Kluyveromyces lactis: one gene and its partners. The protein of the gene in region 7 binds, or shares a complex with, the protein of the main gene of each other region. Links are inferred from orthologs where the notes say so. Each region holds a gene or a part of one and is shown on either strand. Other genes may lie near its edges. The genes, in order: RSM27, MRP10, MRPS8, MRP51, MRPS16, RSM19 and RSM28.

Region 1 (2,563 bases), on a different chromosome or scaffold from region 7:
ATCTTCTTGTTGCCAACGTTATTTTCATTCTATTTGGTATACACAGTGTTCAGATTTGTTGACCTTACAGTGAAAGTGTTGCTTGAACTAAGTTTGGCCCTTATCAACCATTTCCCTTTATTTGCATTGCTTTTACGGATAAAAGATGCTAAAAGGTTACCTGGTGGTATCAAGTTCAAAGTATATGATGATCACTTATTAATATCGAATAATCCAATCAGCTTTTTCATGACCTTTGAACCATTCACAAACGTCATGAAATCCATTCAAAGACAGATGTTCTCGGTTGAGACTTTGAAGATGGTGAGTCAGGGATCAGTTCTTAATGTACGAAGAGATGAACTCTATCGTGTTTTGTACCATAATCTACCGAGACATCCAATTGATATCGATTTACTATGGAAAAAGTTAAAGATGGTAATGGAACAAGATACGATATAAACCCCTCTCACAACCACAATTAATGGCACAGATTGCATAGTTTGAATCTTACTTGAATATTCGTATTTAATAAAAACATAGTTGAAATTCGTTAAATTCTTGGGTCTATTTGAACTGACTGATATAATTTATATACAAGGTATTTTTATATGATGGAAATGTTAATTGCAAGTCCCTTTAAGTGGGATAAAAGGATAGGCTGGGCTCATTTTGATCACTTTCTCTTCTTGGTCTTTTTACCGTCACCAGAGGCCTCTCTCTTCTTAGTTGGAGCACCCTTACCTCTACGCTTTCTTAGTTCAAGCATAGTCAATCTATATTGTTCTTCTTCATCAACGAAGTTCATGCCTGGATATAGTTTCTTCAATTGCTTGAATCTGATAAAATCTGGGTTACCATAATAATTCGCAATAGCAGGTCCTTTAAGCCTCTGTGCTAGGATCTTAGACCCAGTTCTGGCATTTGTTGGATTGAAATTTTGATCAAAAACTTTGGCTGATATCTCAGCAAGCTTCAGTAGCCTAGATTTGGGTACAGACATTTCTCAAAATATGAAAATATGAGTGATAACTGATGGAACAACCCGCAAACTAGTTCGCTGAGAGTTAAAGCACACCTAAGACCTATTTATTGGTACTTTCACTTACTACTTCTGCAGCAGGTTTCTATTTTATGCAAGCTCAGTTTTTTTTCGAATGTTCCAATGTTCAAATTTTCATTATCAGGAAATTATCACCATGATGAGGATAAGAGCGATGAGAGATGCGAGAAGGGTCACATTGCCATACTGGGTACTGAAGCACCATTGAAGGGGAAATATTCAGTTGGCACGTTCAATCAATTAAATAATATTCAATTCTTTGTATAATTATCGGGTACTAGCCTGGATCAATAATGATATTAAAATTATACACGATGTGGAGTTTTAAAAACTAGTAAAAATAGTTAAAAATATGAGCGGATGGTTGAGAGTTGTTGCATGAAGCTATAATAATAACAATGATAGTATGCTAAGCATTGAATCTATATTATAGAATGATGAATTAAACAAAAAAAAAGGTGGAATAACTTCCAGGAATTCAGTTAAAGAATTCTTGAAGTTTAGTTCCATTCTTCTTCTTGAGCTTGACCTTCTTCAGCCCATTCAGCAGCTTCGGTTTGTTCTTCAGTAGCGTCAACGGCTTCTTCAGTTTGTTCACCGGAAGCAACAGCTTCTTCTTCAGCAGTTTGTTGTTCGATTTCTTCTGGGTTTCTGTAGAAGTACAAATCTGGCATGATAGCCCATGGTTGAGTTCTGTCTGGTAGAGCACCTCTCAATCTTAGGACTTCTCTAGCCAACAAGTACCAGATCAAACCGATGGAGTGCTTACCTCTGTTGTTACATGGGATAGCAACATCAACGTATTCGGATGGGGAGTCCAAATCGGTCAAAGCGATGACTGGGATGTTAACGTAAGAAGATTCCTTGATAGCTTGAGCATCGGATCTTGGGTCAGTAACGATAACCAATCTTGGTTCCTTGAAAGATCTGGTGATGTAGTTAGTGAAAGAACCTGGGGTAAATCTACCAGCAATTGGAGTAGCACCGGTGTGAGCAGCGTACTTCAAGACAGCTCTTTGACCATAAGTTCTGGAAGAGATAGCAACAACATCTTCTGGGTTTGGAATGGCAGCAATGATTCTGGCAGCCAAAACAATCTTTTCCCAGGTCTTACCAACGTTGATAACGTTGACACCATCTGGTCTAGCCTTGTAGACGTATGGTTCTTGGTGAACCTGTTAATAATTAAAAAATAACCATGCAAACGTTTCGTTCGCAAAAGTTAAAAATATATTGTTAGTAAAGAGAGAGCTTTTTCCCAACCGCAACATGCGACAGGATACACTTTTCGAAGTGCAGATATTACCATATGATAGAGGAGATGTTCGTGTACTTTTTTATTATTATTTTAGTTCCCTAGAAATGGCAGGCCATTTCAATTGTTGTTCTTTTAACAGATTCAGTTAAAACCATATCCTCTCGTACTTCAGTCTGATATCCTTGTTCGAAGGGAATCAGAATTGAAATAACGAGGGGAAATAGAATGTTTAACGTACGTATATCCTCTATGCTGTTAGGTAA
Region 2 (2,455 bases), on a different chromosome or scaffold from region 7:
AACGGAGCGTGGAGCGATATCACTTATCGTTATACGAATCAGCGAAGGATAAACAGGTCGATATGCCAAGTGCCTTCAAGTCGTTCTTATCGGTACATCCAGAGACTCAGGCAATAGTAATCGGCATTAGACACACAGATCCATTTGGGGAGACGTTGCAACCAATTCAAAAGACGGACCCCAGTTGGCCCCAGTTCTACAGGTTGCAACCGTTGCTACATTGGAATCTCTCACAGATATGGAGTTTCCTATTGTATTCGGGAGAAGAAGTATGCGGATTATATGAGATGGGATTCACTTCATTGGGCAGTGTAAACAACACATTGAGAAATCCATACCTACGGATACCAGAACCTATAGGCTCCATGACAAAGGCCGAGACTGAACATAGCGATTTCCAATGGGAAATTGAAAACAATTACAGAGGAGATTCTAACATGCATTGTAACGAAATTAACGAGAATGACCTTAATACCATCAAACAGCATGATTCATCTGAGTTCCATCCGGGATGGTATCTAACGAAAGACGAGTGGGAAAGAGCTGGCAGACTCGCCAGAAAAGTTTGAGATGAATCCACTCACAAATAGCTACAAAAATCTCTATCATATTTAATAAATCGTGAATTCCTTGATTTTAGATGATATATGTAATATTAGAAAATGGTATTATGTACAAGTGATAACGAAGGGGGAGAAAGTCTGTCTGCTTCTTTCTAATCATGAGATTTTCCACCAACTCTATCGTACAATCTAGCAGCATGATAGTTGATATTACTCTTCTGGACTTTTTGGTTCTTACCTAAGGCATTTTCCGCGGTACATGCCTTCAAATCTTGGGCCAATGTCTCACATGCACCGTACATGTGTCCGTTAGAAGACCAGCATTGTAATAGATTGGACATCAATACCAAGCATCTGTTAGCCTCTTGTTGAATAATTGGCTTTTTCACCTTAAGTCTGGGAAGAGGTGGTAATTTATAAAGAGGAGTCTTACTGGACATGCTTTAATATATGAACACTTGATATCTTGGACGTACCCTTCGCAACACGACCTTACAAGACCTCTAGAACGGACTACGCGACTACATTTATGATATTTTCCATCATATAAACGATATCATTCTTTATGATCTTAACAAAATTTTTGAGACTTTCGCCAATGTTGGATCTAAGTATGCGGTGTACGGGTTAAATTTTTCACTTGGGCCTGCCCTGGAAATGATGAGCTGCCGCGACAGAGGGAGAGAGAGCATATGGGTATAAAATAAGAGCTATAGACTATACTGTTGCTTAATTGGCAAGTACGTATACCGCTGATGTTCAGTATTTGGAAAGATCAGGCATGCTTAGGATTTCACGATCCTTGTTCTTACTGAACTCTTGCAATTGTTTTAGAATATTGGAGTTCTTCCATCTGTCAGGAAGAGGTGTAATGGAATAGTTTTCTGTGGCCCAGTAGTAGATATCCCAATCTAGTTCGTTCAACAACTGGTCGTACTCTTCTAGTTGTTCTGGGGTCATTTCCTTTAAATACTTAGCAGCAAAACGTGACAAAAGTAAGTCTGTTTCCAGAATACCTCTCTTTCTGGACTGATAAATTAATCTAGCACGCTTCTTGTCTAGAGACTCGCCGGTTCTCTTGATAGGTGGGATTCTGATTCTCACCGTGACATCGTCATCTTGGCCCTCAGCACCGTTGCTGTTGCCCTTGTTCAACAAGTAAGCATTTGCGTGAAGAGAACGGCATTGCTTTGTAATCGAGTTAACTCCAGATTTCAACACTGATGGTTTGTTGAAGACAGTTCTTAGCATTATTAGATGACAGTGGTCGTTTGTTGACTGGACAGGTAGGGATAGTATAGAGGAGGGTATACTAGATATATGTAATACAAATTAGGACCTCTTCCTAACCTGGGGTAACGGAGGAGAGAGATCAACCAATTCAAATTGTGATTCAATTAATATTATATATAGCAAGACGGGTAAAAAGGTGCCGTAATCGGTTCGGTCACGTGTACATGGACCTAGAACTCCACAGCTTTGCAACGTCGCTATAGGAGGAGACCTTATACTTGGCTCACACTGGGTAAGGTCAGTGAGAGACAGGTAGCCTTTGTGACAGGTGTGTCTAGTACGCTGGGAAGATTACTTCACCAGTTAGGCACGTGATCTGTTCATCGTCGACGTTGTAAGCTCTAGCAATGACAGAGTATTTGCCAGGTGGCACCTCGCTAGGGATCTCCACGATCTTGTTCAACTCGTAGACACCTTCCTCGATTGGACATTTCAATCCGTCGATGTCGTTCTCCTCCAATTGTTCACACAAATCGTAGGTTTGTGAGATTAACTTGATGTAACCTAATCTAACTTCGATGTCGATGTATGCACCTTCTTCGATAGTGGTTTGTAGGACACCTGCAGCAGCTATAGTCAAATTCTCACCTCTTTGTGGT
Region 3 (2,524 bases), on a different chromosome or scaffold from region 7:
CAATTAGATACTGATGATATTTACAAAGTTTAATCGAGATAAAGTTGGATGGATTGTTATAGGAAGTCCCCAGATATATGCAAAAGGGTGCCGATGGGGAAAATGGCATGAGGGGTCATTTTAGATGGTCTCAACTTTATCCACGGTTTTAAAGTATTTGGAAACCTGGCCGTCTCCTTCTGAATTTGGTACAATAACTTTGTCGATAACGGAAACCTCATTTTCGAACTTGATCGCATCTTTTATATTGTCTGGGAAGTCAAGTAGATAAACAGTGTCACCCTTTTGACATTTCTCCTTCATATATTTACCTATCAAGACGACAGAGAGACCTGTTGGTAGTTTTTCCATGTACGATTTCCCCTCCTTTTCATATAAATCATTTAAAAGCACATAATATTTATCGTCAGACTTATTTCTGAAGAATTCAATAGCTTCTGAAGGTTTGATAACCTTCGCATCTTCGGGGAATTTCAGTTTCTTGGTTGCAACTCCGGTTTGCACACATCTTAAATTTAAATCATCTTGCTCAAAGATCGAAACTCTTCTTCTTAGACCACTCATCACAGTGTCAAATTCAGAGAATGTGTACGTGTTTTTAGGCTTGTTCTGTTCCAAAGAGTCGACTGCCTTAACAAAAATAGCAGTCCCAACTAAACCAACAAGTAAAATGGTTTTAAAACTTGGTGGTTCTTCAGCTTTATCCATTTTTCCAGACAGCATCCGGCGCATGACCGGAGACTTCAATAATCTTGGTGCAGCGCGTACGAACATATCGGCCTTGATCTTTGTATAGTGCAGCAGATAGCTACTGATGAGATTGGCTATAGGCCTCGTAGTGAAACAAAGAAGCAATCCTAATTAAAATGTCATAACATTCCGGATCTTCTCCAGCAAGCTATATTGAAAGATCTTAAAATGTCATTGACGAAATATTTCCACAGGTTTGATAGAAAAGTGATAAGGTACAAAACAAAAGAGAAGAGGTAAGGAGATTGCCATTATAGGACCCTGGCTTGAGAAGGCGTACAGTTAGAAGATTATATGAAACTGCATCTAGCAGCTTACTTCCAACACTGCTTTCGCTTCATTCTAGGCTGATAAAGACACCGTTGGCTATTTCTTTCCAAACACTGACGGTGTGATGTACGGGTGGGATATGTAGATATTCTAAAAATTTTCTGTTCACCAAAATTTGGGCTATACACATGAGATGAAGGACAACTCTTCAATGATAAACTGTTACCGGGTTGGCCTCTCCAATCAAGGAAAAACGATCCTCATTAAGCTTCCATAACAATTGTGATACACTTTGTCAAGAATGTCATTAGTGAATTTGGGTAATGTTTGCGCGCACTTGCAAAACTGTTCCCGCGCAAGAATTGGTTTGACTTCAATCCCATATACAAAGTTACACTTGAACTTCGCTTATAACTTATACAAGCATGGCTTCTTATCCAGTTTACAACGAGGATCTACTAAGGGCCCAGATGTCACACCGGTAGACGTAACGCCAGATAATATCGCTACTAGAAAACTGTGGTTGGGTTTAAAATACAGGGAAAACAAGCCAGTTATTTCTAGTTGTAGATTGATATCAAAACCAAACTTGAGAATCAGTCTAGATGCACATGATTTGAAGAAACTATGTTCAGGTACCTCCGTCAGATTGATCAAACCTTTGGCTCCTGGTGAATTAATTTTAGTGAAATCTGGGAATGAAATTATGGATATCGATGATGCTATCGCCAAGAAAGTCGGTGGTGAAGTGCTATGCAGAATTAGGTGAATCATCAGTAAAATTCCCAGCAATAAAGACCATTAGTCATATAATCAAAAACAAAGTGCAGAATATTTCATCAACATGTGTGATGGACCATCGAAACTTCCAATATCATCAAAAGGAAATCCACCTCATATTCCATGTATATAGTAACATTCAATCAGTGCGATTTTCCTTTTAGCGACAATCATCAATCGTGTCAAATATCAGTTTTATACATACACTAATATAATTGTATACTTGTACATTATAGCATTATATTTGCCTAAACGAGACAAATGAGACAAATCATAAAAAAATCATAGCTCTGTGGTAATAGTAACAAGGCTGAAACTTACTTAAAATTCCACAACTGGGCCAACACCAACTGATCTCCAATTTGTCATATCGACATTCCAGTTCTTCCACTTAGCTAACATAACAGGGTCTGTCGTTGGATGCTGAATCTGTCTCGATGGCTCGAATTTGGATGGAGAATGTCTATCAAAGGAAGAGAATTCCACAGGGGTTAGTTGTGGTGATTGTGTTGCTCTAAGCTGCTCTACTTCTTGTCTAGACGTAGATAGCTCCTGCTGAGCGGACAGCAATTGTACAGTTTTATCATTGAGTTGAGATTTCATGATGTTTATCTGTTCTTCAAGCTCTTCTATGGAGCTTTCTTGATCTATGTTGACAAACTTCAATTGCTTTACTTGATCTTTTAGCTTTGAAACTTCTTCCTTGAGGTTTATTACTTCATCT
Region 4 (3,062 bases), on a different chromosome or scaffold from region 7:
ATGATTATTGGATTATTAGTGCCCTTTAATTCCCCATATTTGATGGGGTCTGGATCAGAACTGACCCATGCATCTCCATATGTGGTCGCATTAACAACCAATGGTGTTAGGATAATACCTCATATTGTTAATGCAATTATTCTATTGTCTATTATTTCTGTCGCAAACAATGCGATGTATAGTAGCTCAAGAACATTACATTCCTTAGCTGAACAAGGATTTGCGATGAAATATTTTTGTAAATTGGATGAAAGTGGTAAGCCGTTTAGATGTCTTTGCGTTTCAGCATTTACTGGTTTATTTTCATTCATAGCCGAATATAAGGACCAGGAAACAGTCTTCGTTTGGTTATTGTCAATCAGCGGTCTTTCCACTATCTTTACTTGGAGTATGACCTGTGTGTCTCATTTGAGATTCAGAAAGGCAATGAAAGATCAAGATCAAGCTTTAGACCAATTAGGATATCAATCACCATGTGGTGTATATGGCAGTTACATCTCGTTGTTTATTTGTGCCATTATTTTGATAGTACAATTTTGGGTATCATTGTTTCCTTTAGAATCCAACGGTAGGCTGAATGTCGTCTCATTCCTTCAAAATTATATGGCTGTTCCAATTACCATCGTACTTTACCTTGGTCATAAAGCTTACACAGGGAACTGGAAACCTTTTATTAGAGCACCTGAGATTGACATTCAGACCGATCGTGACATCTACTGTGTTGATGAGGTTACTGGAAAAAAATCAGTTTTTGTTGAGCTTCTGGATAGCGGAGACATGTGCTCGAAACTATCTGATAACCTTGTCAAGTAGTACAAACATTTCTACGAAACTGAGGTTCTCATACAGTATCGACTAAACCAAGGAACTGTTGATATGAAATTATTACGAAAAAATGAATAGTTTTCTGTAGTAAACAATATAATAAATAATGCAATTGAAAAAAAAATTTAAACTCAACACCGATTTCTGATTATGGGAAACCCCTCATAGAAGACTTATGTTATACTGGTGCTGATCTCGTTTTAAATATTAGCATCACTTAAGAAACCATTCTTCCTTTAAAATGAGTACTAAATGTGACACTTTCATCAATGGTCTGTCGCAAGTCCGGGTAAAATGTTACGTTTCTAATGATAAAAAAATTTCGATATCATTGAATAGCATTCAATTCGATAAATCTTAAACACAGCTCAGCTACTGATTTTGACTGAAGAGCTAAATTAGTTCCTATCGTCGACTATTGTGACAAGGTTCCAAAACTATCAGCAATTCGTTGAATAGATAATTCACTTTTTGGGTTTAAACTGGGCTGTTAGTCCTTAGCTTGAAGACAGATATACTTACTGAATTCACAATTCGAAATAGAAAGCTATGTCCCATATATCTAATTTGTTAAAAAATTCCAGGATAGCACAAGTGGCAAAGACGGACAAGCCATTGTTTCGTCCAGGTAACTCTTCTCATCCAACTCATCAAGTGATTGAGACCAAGCCATCCTCCTTATATCGTCAGGAATGGGGTTTGAAGGCAAGCATTCCATCGAAAATCAAGACCAGATATTTGGTTTACAACGATTTGGACACCCAACAAAGACTAACGACTTTTGAACCAATGGGTCAATACCAGTGGAACAGAATCAGATTCCAAGAAATGGGGTTAGCCCCTCGTTACGTTGAAGAAGAATCCAATCCTCTATTCAATGGGAAAACCAAGAGGGCCGGAAAATACGCGCCATTCAGCAATGCTGTGAACATTGCTCATAACACTGCGCCTTCTGAAAAGACAAGAAAGTTGAAAGAAATTGACCAACACAGATCAGAATTCAAGAAGTGGCTGTTAGAGAAACACCCGGATTCCATTGCTGGTGTTAGAAATGAAAACACCAGACCTTTGAAGGCTTTAGCTACTGAATTCTTACATGAAAAGATGGGAAAGTTGAATATTAATACAGCAGCTAACTCGGAGTGGCACATTGTGGGCACCGGTGGTCTAACTTACAACTTGAAAGGTAGACTTAGACAATCTCCAAATGGTGTAAAACAAAAGCACGTTGTGCCAGGCAGAGTTTTATCTGTCCAGGGACCTGATCGCGCAGTCGCTGTTGGTGGTTTCATCGCTGAAGCTAAATCTGTGGGCCGTAATCCTCGTGCTCTACAATACAACATGGGTGATTTTGTCAGACAAGAAGTTTTACCATTTGCCATTGAAGATCCAAAGGTAGAAGGGGGTAATGTAACATTGTCTGCATCTTTAGTAGAACCAAGAAATGACTTCAGTTTTGCTCAGAAGATCGGCTTAGGTCAAAGCAGATCACATTATACCAGATCCGATTCCAGAAACTCTTCAAGAAAAACTGTAAGATCTGTCACCGCCGAAGAATCTAGATCTCAAAGTGAAGAGTTCCTAAACTTATTAAAGACAACCATGTAAGTTGATATATGGTAGGTATTACACAACCATAGCTAGAAGTCACTTGTAAATAAAACGTAATAAATACAGTCATGTTACGCGGAAGACGGAGCTGTGCGTCAAGCGGTTAAGGGCCGTGCTCGTAACTTAAATGGAACAAAATGGATGAATATATATTTGATGTAAACTTAAAATGAATGTCGCGCATATGCAATGAGAGTCCACTCCTTTCTTGAAAAGGAATTTTACATTAGAACACCCTTAGTAGAAGGAACGTCGTTGGTTCCGTTGCTTGAAATAGCCTCTTTGATTGCAATGGCAAGTGCTTTGAATGCAGATTCACTTCTGTGATGGTCGTTAAAGCCTCTCAAACAATCAACGTGCAAAGTTATTCTCGCGGCTTCAGCAAAGGACTCCAAGAAATGAGGTATCATCTCGCATGAAAGGTCACCGATCTTTTCCCTCTTCAACCCCAACTCTATTACTGCGTATGGTCTATTGGATAGATCCACAACAGCACGTGATAAAGCTTCGTCTAATGGTGCATATCCTGAACCAAATCTTTTCACACCACGAACATGACCCAAAGCTTCCTTAAAGGCTTGGCCAAGAGCAATACCACAATCCTCGGTGGTATGATGGTCATCGAT
Region 5 (2,369 bases), on a different chromosome or scaffold from region 7:
ACAATCAACCGCAAGCGTAAATACTCTTTTGAACTCAACTTCAAATGCTACAAATACTGCTGCTGCTGGTCAACAGCCTGATGAACGAAACAATAGATTACCCACACATATAGAAAATGAATCCAATTTATAGTTGCACTGGAACACAATTTGACTCGATGTAACATCATGAGCACTAATCTCCAATACAAACCTGAACATTACACCAAACATACCTATTAAATACTTGAGAAGTTAGACATTCACTCACTCATTCACAAAAACATAACATAAACCATCTTTTTGTTCTTGTAATTTTGTTAATATTTATGAATTTTCGGAAATCACATAGTTTAACAGTCAGTATTCCTCGATGATACTTCCCTCATTCAGGGAAATATATGCTGATGACGATTATTATTATTGTGTAGAATTACCTGATAGCATCTTATATATGGTGATATGTAAATTTAATCACTTCAATTTTACCGCATGGGGCCAAGCTGTTAAGTGTATGTAACTACTACATTGGTTTATGACCGGAAAAAGTGCCCGAATTCCTCTTATCAATTTAAGCCTATATACATGAGTTCTTGACCGTAAGAAAGCCTTGGGAGATGGTGATTTATGCCCTGATTATTGATATACCGCTTTTAATACAGTAATCGGAACAGCTGGTCTATTCTTCAAAGACTTCTTTCCTAGGTTCAATAACAACCCTACTACTTGTGTAGGTCTTTCCCCAATTTTCATCCAGGATTCCAGCTTTTCTCAATAGTCTTGTTACCGTATCACTAGGTTGAGCACCAACACCGATCCAGTATTTAGCTCTTCCGAAGTCTAATTCCACATCTTTAGTAGGAACAACACCTTGTTTAACCTCTTTCTTCGTTAATGGTTTTGGGATTGGGTTGTATGTTCCTAATACTTCAATTGGTTTCCTATTCAACGCCTTATGTTTGTTGGTAACAACTATGTTGTATACTGGGGTATGTTTCCTTCCGAATCTAGCTAGTCTTATCCTCACCAAACCTTTCGTCATGATTATTGTATTTCACCAAACTTGGCGTTAAATTCTGGTTTAAGAGACTTGGTTTACTCGCTCTGGTCGTCTTGATACATAATATGTTTGTCCTGTTATTACGCTTTTAATGTTGATTGAATTTTTTTTTCTATCTTTCGAAGGATTTTCAACACCAACTAAATAAAGCATGTCTATCACGTGATATAGGTGGGATATCTAACAGCCGTATGAGCAACATTCGTCTTAGGCGTTTATGGCGACATTACAGCCTAATAGTATAGGAAGTTGATCTATGAGAAAGTATCTATAAGTGAGAAAGTGTTTATTTACTGGAGTTAGACTGACGGTGGGAATTAGTTTACCAAAAATGCAGTCATATAAAACGACTTGGCATTACAAATAACATCGCATTCAGTAAAGAAAGTTAACGACACAAATAATGAAATAGTATGTTCTTGAACCCGTTTAGCAGACGCATATATACAGAGTTGGCATATATTAACCAAAATTTATTTACTTTTTATTCTCTGCTTTCTTCATTGCCTCACGATCCTTGCTGCTTCATCACTAAGGGCTTAAAAAGAAATTTTTCACAAGCTGTATAAAATTTTCAATCTAGCTCATCTCATCGCTCATCTCATCTAACAAGTAGAGACGAGTTATAATCAACAACACCTCAGAAAAGAGAATTACTGAGTTTAACTTGGGATTGAAAACTGACAAGCGAACAAATTGTGCAATATGGGTCCTGAACAAGCGTCCAAGCTTCTTGAACTTGAAGATAAGCTTGCTAAAATCAGAGGACAATCTACATCAAAACTAGAGAATCAGAAGCACATTGCCATAATCTTGGCTGCTATTGAAGAAAATATTAATGAGCAAGAGGCAATTAATAAGAACATCGTGAATTATCTTATTTCTTTGATGTCCTTGCTGGATCAAACTATCGATACAGAAACTGCGGCCATTAAAGATCTACAATTAGCAACATCAACGATGTATTTGTTGGACATCATTTTTCATTATACACCAAAGAAAATATTAAAGAGCAGGTTTGCTGATATTTTGATTAAAGTTGCCCCATGTATTACTGATGAAAAGGCTAACGCTCCTTTGATCAAATCCGCTCTTGGTTGTTTAGAAGCTTTGTTAATTGCCCAGGATACGCAAACGTGGAATAACACTCAAAATTTAAAGGTGACTCCAACAAGAGGTTTGGATGGTCTACTTGAGCTATCTCTAGATCCAAGACCAAAAGTAAGGAAGAGAGCACAGGATGCAATTACCAACATTCTAAAAAACCCTCCACCTGGTCCAACAGCAGAACACGTCGCATCACCTTTGATCTCAGCATTCGCTATTAATG
Region 6 (2,423 bases), on a different chromosome or scaffold from region 7:
ACGGAGTAACTGAATTGATGAGCGATCAAGAACTCTGTGATCTCATCACCTCCACAGTGAACAATAGAGGTTTGAAAACTGCTTCTCCACACTTCTGTGCTCAGGAAGTTTTACAATATGTTATGGCTATTAGCTCTAAACATTCTGATAATGCTACTTGCGTAATTCTGCGGTTACCGAACTGGGGAAATTGGCCTGTCATTGATCGCACTGGTGCGATTAGAGAGGAAAAGCTACTAAGTGGTGTATCCGGTGGAGAAAGATCTAGTGGTTGAAAAAAGTCCACAAACTTAATCATAAATTAAATTCAAAAGAAACCTCAAGTAAAGAGTGTATATTCTATTTTACTTCAATTATTATATATAGTACTCGTTATGATTAACATTTGCATCTATTTAACAATGAGAAACACCATTAACTCCCAATTAATCGAGAGCACTTGTTCAATAAATCATTTCTTAGTAATAGATACAGTTACGTATGGAGTACACGGTGGTACATGAACTTCCAGGTGTGATTTTATATACATGCTGCTGTCTGACTAACTTTGTGCTTTTCATAAATGTCAAATCATTTGTTCTTAGTTTGAGTATAACTGAATCTCTTTCTTGTTGGTACGAATTCTCCTAGCTTACTTCCTACCATATCTTCTGTCACTTCAAACGCGACATACTCCTTACCATTATGCACTTGGAATTTCAGTCCGACAAATTGAGGTAATATGGTGGCAGATCTGGCATTTGTTCTAATGGGCGTACCTTTGGCCAATGCTTCTTTTATTGGTAATGGGACTATATTTGGACCTTTCCATACAGAACGTGATAGTAATCTCAATGACGGGAACATTTTATGACGTTATGAGTGTTATCGTAGACGCGAGATATTTGTCTAACTGCTGGAACCTTTGGCTGACTGATATCATGGTAGTGACTTAACTCTATTATATCTTGTCGTTATTTCAAGTTTTACAGATTGAAATTTTTTATGAATTCCGTTCTGAAATAAAATAATAGACGAATGGCGATGAGATGTAATATGATGCGATGAGCTTCAGGAATTTAGAAGGTCAGTAACAGCATAGCGACAGCATAACGATAGCATCCAGTCAATAACATGTTTGCTGCAAGGTTTGATCCTACTAAGGTGACTGAAAATGTACTAACAGCTGAAGTCACACAAATAAAAGAACCCACTGTGCCCCAAAAGAGGAAAAGAGATGCGGAAACTGATGATGAAGGCTCTGGTGAGGACGATGCTTCCAGCAGTGAGGATGATGCTTCCAGCAGTGAGGATGATTCCGATACAATTAGTGAGCAAGATGAAAACAAGGTTGCATCTGTTGCGCCTACAGAAACTTCTCAGCAATCAGTTGATGCAAAGCACAGTTCCGTATTAAATAGATTTCAACAGACTCTTTCCCTGCAAGGTGCGTTGAGCGCTTCAGACAAGGTCAGTAGTGACAACGATGTACACGATGAGGACGTATCCATGAAAGATGTTCACAGTCTTACCCCAATTCCTCAACCGGCCAAAGTGACCAATGAAGCCTTGAAGCTTCTAGATCCGTCTACATATAAATCCACTGCGTGGGATGCAGCAACCAAAATTCATTACGATAGTAAAATGGTTAAACAATTCGATAGCTACGAAGGTGAATTAGATGCACGTCTGCTTAAAAATATTACCTCCAATTTCTCATCTGAAACGTTCCCTATTCAGACCATTCTATTCGATAAAGTGCTCCCGCTTCTAAACTCATCTTTTAAAGCAAACAGAAAACTTTTCACAAGACGAGTTGGTGATATATTAGTAAACGCATCAACTGGTTCCGGTAAGACCTTAGCATATTCTGTCCCTTTGGTTCAAATTTTGAGATCTAGAACAGTGAATAAAGTTAGGGCAATAATTTTGGTTCCTACTAAAATTTTAATTCATCAAGTCTACGATTGTCTCTCTAAACTAAGTCAAGGGACCAGTCTCAATGTATCAATGTCGAAACTCGAGAACTCCTTGAAAGAAGAACACAACAAATTTTTGTATAACTCTCCAGACATTCTAATCATCACTCCGGGCAGACTGGTCGATCACTTGCAGATGGAATCATTTGACCTAAAAACTTTGAAGTTCTTAGTCCTTGATGAAGCAGACCGACTATTAAATCAGTCATTCCAAAATTGGAACCAAGTGCTTTTCCACCATTTGACAAACGATAAGCAGGATAAACGTCCAGGAAACGTAATCAAAATGGTCTTTTCTGCTACTTTGACTACGAATGCAGAAAAGTTGTACAATTTGTATCTCCACAACCCCAAGATCTTCCTCACAGATTCTGTTAAATTATATTCAATACCTAAGAAATTGCAAGAACTCAATGTCAATATTCCTACTGCTAAGAGTCTGTTCAAGCCACTACTCTTACTAAG
Region 7 (3,260 bases):
TTTACCAATTACGGAGTACATTACCAACATGACATATAACAAGTCTCCTTTCAAAGAGTATTTGAAAAATAAGCTGGGTGAGAAAAAGGAATATGAGGGTTGCTTCGATGTAGGGACCAAGCTTCTGAAAATAGAAAAGGCTTTAAATATAAAAGAAGGTTCTATTATTGATGATATCGATGCTTCTTTCGTTCTACGAATCATGATCACAGATATCAGTGTATTAAAGGAAAAGATCGGGTTCGAAAAACTACTTGATATATATTTATCACGGAATGATTTTGCTACGGTGGAGTCCTTGTTACAAGCCAACGATAAGGTAGTGCTGAAAGTTATCGATCACTATCTAAGTCTCAACAATACTAGGGTCATTAGTCAATTCCTTAACAAGAATACGTGTTGTATAAACGACTCTGGGCTACTTATAGAAATTTTGGAAAAAATACCCCCAACCATTCAAATATCAGTGTTATCGGGTTTCCTATTTCCGTTACTCAGACGAAAAGACGAATCAACATATAATCTACAGATTAAGAAAGGAATTTTAAGGCATCGTACTCAGAATATAAACAATATCGAACGTTGTTTAGAACTGTGAAATAGTGTGATATATCATTAAGTGCATTGTGAAAATATATACATGAAAAATAGAGGTTAATCTTGTCTATAGGCGATCTGGCTTGTAATCAAGCTGTCAATTCAGAGACTGGTGCCAAACCGGAACAGACTTTTTGCAAAAGTTCTTTTTCAGTTGAAGCCAAGTTGCTTTGTTCTAAACTCTTTCTCACAATTTCGCTATTTTGCAGAAGTTGCTCTCTTTTGTCTTCTGCTTTTGTTAGTTTGGCAAAGTCCTTCTTTGTGTATGGCTTGAGAATGTGGAAACTACCCTTGACGGATTGCTCAAGTTTTTCTAGATCCGGAGAAATTTGGATGTTTTTTGTCAACGGTTCCACCTGCAATTTCAAAATGGAAGCTGGCACGTATTCACCAAAGTTGTCTTTGTTCGCTGTCATACGCTTACTGACGTTCTTTCCATTAATTGTGACACCATCATTCAATGAACGATGCACAGGGAAGTCGGCGTCTTTTAGTGTTGAAACTGCATATCTGAATGTCCTTGCACTGAAAGTTGGAGCCAGAGCAGGTCTGTATCTTAGCAACGATAACGGTGTTGGATCTTGTGGAACATATACAGCCGAGTTGTGAATATTTTGCACAACGTTTTCCGATCCCAAATTACTGGAAATTTTCAACCCTGGAACGGTTTTACGAGTTTTCCTTTCATCGCTTCTACGATTCTGTCTGGTACCCAAATTTTGAACTTTGCCTGAAATCTCACTATACTCATTAGTACCGGTAATCTTTGGTGTCTGTCTTTTAGCCGTACCTGTTTGTACTACCGGGCCATTGGTTCCTCTAGTATCCGTTCTTTGTGTTCTTTCTCTAAAATTTTTACCACCACGGTCTTGACCATTACGGACTTGTCTATTATCCCTGGGTTTATTTCCTCCGGATCTGTCATCAAATCTTGCTGTTTGTCTCTTATCTTCCCTCCCAGCTGACCTCACCTTTCTGTCAGATCTTGGTTTACGTGGTTCTCTTGCCTTGATAGGAACTTCCTTCACTCTTTGCAAAACTGATGCTAAAAAGTCCGGAGAGACAGAGCTATAAGCCCTTTTAGAGAATGTAGAAGCTAGCATTATTAAGTAAATATATTAATGCTAGTCACACACTTAAACAGATCACAACTTGATATAGCGTTACCTGGTTTATTACAACCCTATACCTAAATATCTCCGTGATACCATAAGAACTAATCAAGTTCATCATACTGAAACGAGTTTCGCACTCTCATAGGTTTTATGAAAGATCAAAAATTTTCAAGGCGTTCAAAATGATAAAAACACACGTGATCTAAATTTCTTATGATGACAGAAGGAATACAACATTCGGTGGGTTCTGACGTTTTGATATGAACTTAATACAACGGCGAGTACATACAGCGATATGCCTCGTCTAAAAATTGATGTTGTCAGTGGAAAGTCTAAAACAAGTCAATTAATTATTAAGAGGTGATATATATATGTATAGATAAAGCGATCAAGTCGTTTCAGATAATCTCGATTGGAACTTTCATCTCTGTAGCCAACTTTTTTAGCTGTTGAAGTTGTTCACTAGATGCTGCAGATCTGCCTTTCCGTACTTGGATGAAATCAATAAATTTCAACGGTATGTCCTGAGAAGTTAGGTAAACATTATTTAATGATTTCACAAGGTTGAGGCTGTCTAGCATTTCCTGGATCCTTTTGATATGGATGTAAACGTTACTAGAACTTCTCATTCCACTGATGACATCCGTATCTTTTCCAGTAATGCCGGGAGACAAATGAACATGGTTCCGTGACATTTTTTTGATGAAACCTGAGTGAAGAATTGAAATGCAGTTTGATACGTTGGTGCCATGAACCAATTTACTTGATAGTTGTTCTATGTTGGTAATTGGTTTTAAAACGTGTTGCGATGGAGCAATTTGCTTCAATGTATGTCCTTGTGTTGCACAGACGTACATTATCCCTGTATTCGGATCAGTTTTGATATGAAATCGTTGCTTGTCATTACTAGCAACAATATGCTGTATTTCTGTTGACGTTGCTTTCAAGCTTTTGAGTCTGTTATGCTGCAGTATTCTATCCAATGCAATGTAACCATCAGAATCTATAGGCAAGTTTTCCTTCACAGCACCATGTCTCAGCAAATAAGCCAATGCTTTCGAAATTTTCACACTTCTGTCCTTAGGTTCCTGCGAATGCGAGGTGTTCATAATGGTTCAGTTAAATCGAGCTTAGCACTTTCTGTTTTCCCCAATAGCTTTGACCATGTCGTTCTCTATCGGTCATACATAACTAATGGAATGAAATATATATGACAACGAAAAAATAATTGGATGGAACCTAATATGAGTCAGATGACACACACGAACGTATATATAGATGTAAACTTAGGAATTACAATGTGCACTGTAGGCACCGTACGTAAACGCCTTGAAGTTGCATAGTAAAAATGATAAAATAGAGTTTGATTAAATAATAGAGACCGTTGACCAACATAATTCGTTATGTACATGATAAAGTTCCCATATTTGGTTCACGAAACCTGACGGGGAAGGAAAAGAAAAAGAAGATGTAAATTAATGATTGTGTATAAGCAAAATACTGTAACAGAATGCGCCATATCAGGGACTGCAAAACGCATCTGGGGTC

The links.
Region 1: RSM28 (region 7) and RSM27 share a complex: the UniProt entries of both Saccharomyces cerevisiae proteins name them as parts of the mitochondrial small ribosomal subunit. The link is inferred for Kluyveromyces lactis from reciprocal best matches to the Saccharomyces cerevisiae genes RSM28 and RSM27.
Region 2: RSM28 (region 7) and MRP10 share a complex: the UniProt entries of both Saccharomyces cerevisiae proteins name them as parts of the mitochondrial small ribosomal subunit. The link is inferred for Kluyveromyces lactis from reciprocal best matches to the Saccharomyces cerevisiae genes RSM28 and MRP10.
Region 3: RSM28 (region 7) and MRPS8 share a complex: the UniProt entries of both Saccharomyces cerevisiae proteins name them as parts of the mitochondrial small ribosomal subunit. The link is inferred for Kluyveromyces lactis from reciprocal best matches to the Saccharomyces cerevisiae genes RSM28 and MRPS8.
Region 4: RSM28 (region 7) and MRP51 share a complex: the UniProt entries of both Saccharomyces cerevisiae proteins name them as parts of the mitochondrial small ribosomal subunit. The link is inferred for Kluyveromyces lactis from reciprocal best matches to the Saccharomyces cerevisiae genes RSM28 and MRP51.
Region 5: RSM28 (region 7) and MRPS16 share a complex: the UniProt entries of both Saccharomyces cerevisiae proteins name them as parts of the mitochondrial small ribosomal subunit. The link is inferred for Kluyveromyces lactis from reciprocal best matches to the Saccharomyces cerevisiae genes RSM28 and MRPS16.
Region 6: RSM28 (region 7) and RSM19 share a complex: the UniProt entries of both Saccharomyces cerevisiae proteins name them as parts of the mitochondrial small ribosomal subunit. The link is inferred for Kluyveromyces lactis from reciprocal best matches to the Saccharomyces cerevisiae genes RSM28 and RSM19.

The regions. Positions count from the first base shown.
Region 1 is NC_006041.1:1,440,242-1,442,804, forward strand, and holds RSM27 (mitochondrial 37S ribosomal protein mS33), read right to left. Parts: upstream 983-2,563; coding exon 656-982; downstream 1-655. Other genes in the region: GPI1 (phosphatidylinositol N-acetylglucosaminyltransferase), read left to right, coding at 1-441; KLLA0_E16149g (uncharacterized protein), read left to right, coding at 1,145-1,309; RPS0A (40S ribosomal protein uS2), read right to left, coding at 1,543-2,217. UniProt on the Saccharomyces cerevisiae protein: Component of the mitochondrial ribosome (mitoribosome), a dedicated translation machinery responsible for the synthesis of mitochondrial genome-encoded proteins, including at least some of the essential transmembrane subunits of the mitochondrial respiratory chain.
Region 2 is NC_006041.1:1,177,998-1,180,452, reverse strand, and holds MRP10 (mitochondrial 37S ribosomal protein mS37), read right to left. Parts: upstream 1,004-2,455; coding exon 716-1,003; downstream 1-715. Other genes in the region: FAD1 (FMN adenylyltransferase), read left to right, coding at 1-569; succinate dehydrogenase assembly factor SDH5, read right to left, coding at 1,323-1,814; NPC2 (sterol transporter), read right to left, coding at 2,131-2,455. UniProt on the Saccharomyces cerevisiae protein: Component of the mitochondrial ribosome (mitoribosome), a dedicated translation machinery responsible for the synthesis of mitochondrial genome-encoded proteins, including at least some of the essential transmembrane subunits of the mitochondrial respiratory chain.
Region 3 is NC_006041.1:141,136-143,659, forward strand, and holds MRPS8 (mitochondrial 37S ribosomal protein uS8m), read left to right. Parts: upstream 1-1,321; coding exon 1,322-1,789; downstream 1,790-2,524. Other genes in the region: AIM36 (Aim36p), read right to left, coding at 121-774; BUG1 (Bug1p), read right to left, coding at 2,122-2,524. UniProt on the Saccharomyces cerevisiae protein: Component of the mitochondrial ribosome (mitoribosome), a dedicated translation machinery responsible for the synthesis of mitochondrial genome-encoded proteins, including at least some of the essential transmembrane subunits of the mitochondrial respiratory chain.
Region 4 is NC_006042.1:88,523-91,584, reverse strand, and holds MRP51 (mitochondrial 37S ribosomal protein bS1m), read left to right. Parts: upstream 1-1,374; coding exon 1,375-2,433; downstream 2,434-3,062. Other genes in the region: KLLA0_F01012g (uncharacterized protein), read left to right, coding at 1-813; imidazoleglycerol-phosphate dehydratase HIS3, read right to left, coding at 2,658-3,062. UniProt on the Saccharomyces cerevisiae protein: Component of the mitochondrial ribosome (mitoribosome), a dedicated translation machinery responsible for the synthesis of mitochondrial genome-encoded proteins, including at least some of the essential transmembrane subunits of the mitochondrial respiratory chain.
Region 5 is NC_006042.1:2,519,038-2,521,406, forward strand, and holds MRPS16 (mitochondrial 37S ribosomal protein bS16m), read right to left. Parts: upstream 1,022-2,369; coding exon 659-1,021; downstream 1-658. Other genes in the region: CIP1 (Cip1p), read left to right, coding at 1-133; mRNA-binding protein RRP12, read left to right, coding at 1,745-2,369. UniProt on the Saccharomyces cerevisiae protein: Component of the mitochondrial ribosome (mitoribosome), a dedicated translation machinery responsible for the synthesis of mitochondrial genome-encoded proteins, including at least some of the essential transmembrane subunits of the mitochondrial respiratory chain.
Region 6 is NC_006042.1:666,553-668,975, reverse strand, and holds RSM19 (mitochondrial 37S ribosomal protein uS19m), read right to left. Parts: upstream 847-2,423; coding exon 571-846; downstream 1-570. Other genes in the region: type 2C protein phosphatase PTC6, read left to right, coding at 1-275; putative ATP-dependent RNA helicase DBP6, read left to right, coding at 1,114-2,423. UniProt on the Saccharomyces cerevisiae protein: Component of the mitochondrial ribosome (mitoribosome), a dedicated translation machinery responsible for the synthesis of mitochondrial genome-encoded proteins, including at least some of the essential transmembrane subunits of the mitochondrial respiratory chain.
Region 7 is NC_006039.1:1,053,333-1,056,592, forward strand, and holds RSM28 (mitochondrial 37S ribosomal protein mS46 RSM28), read right to left. Parts: upstream 1,701-3,260; coding exon 687-1,700; downstream 1-686. Other genes in the region: CORVET complex subunit VPS3, read left to right, coding at 1-598; TPT1 (tRNA 2'-phosphotransferase), read right to left, coding at 2,111-2,821. UniProt on the Saccharomyces cerevisiae protein: Component of the mitochondrial ribosome (mitoribosome), a dedicated translation machinery responsible for the synthesis of mitochondrial genome-encoded proteins, including at least some of the essential transmembrane subunits of the mitochondrial respiratory chain.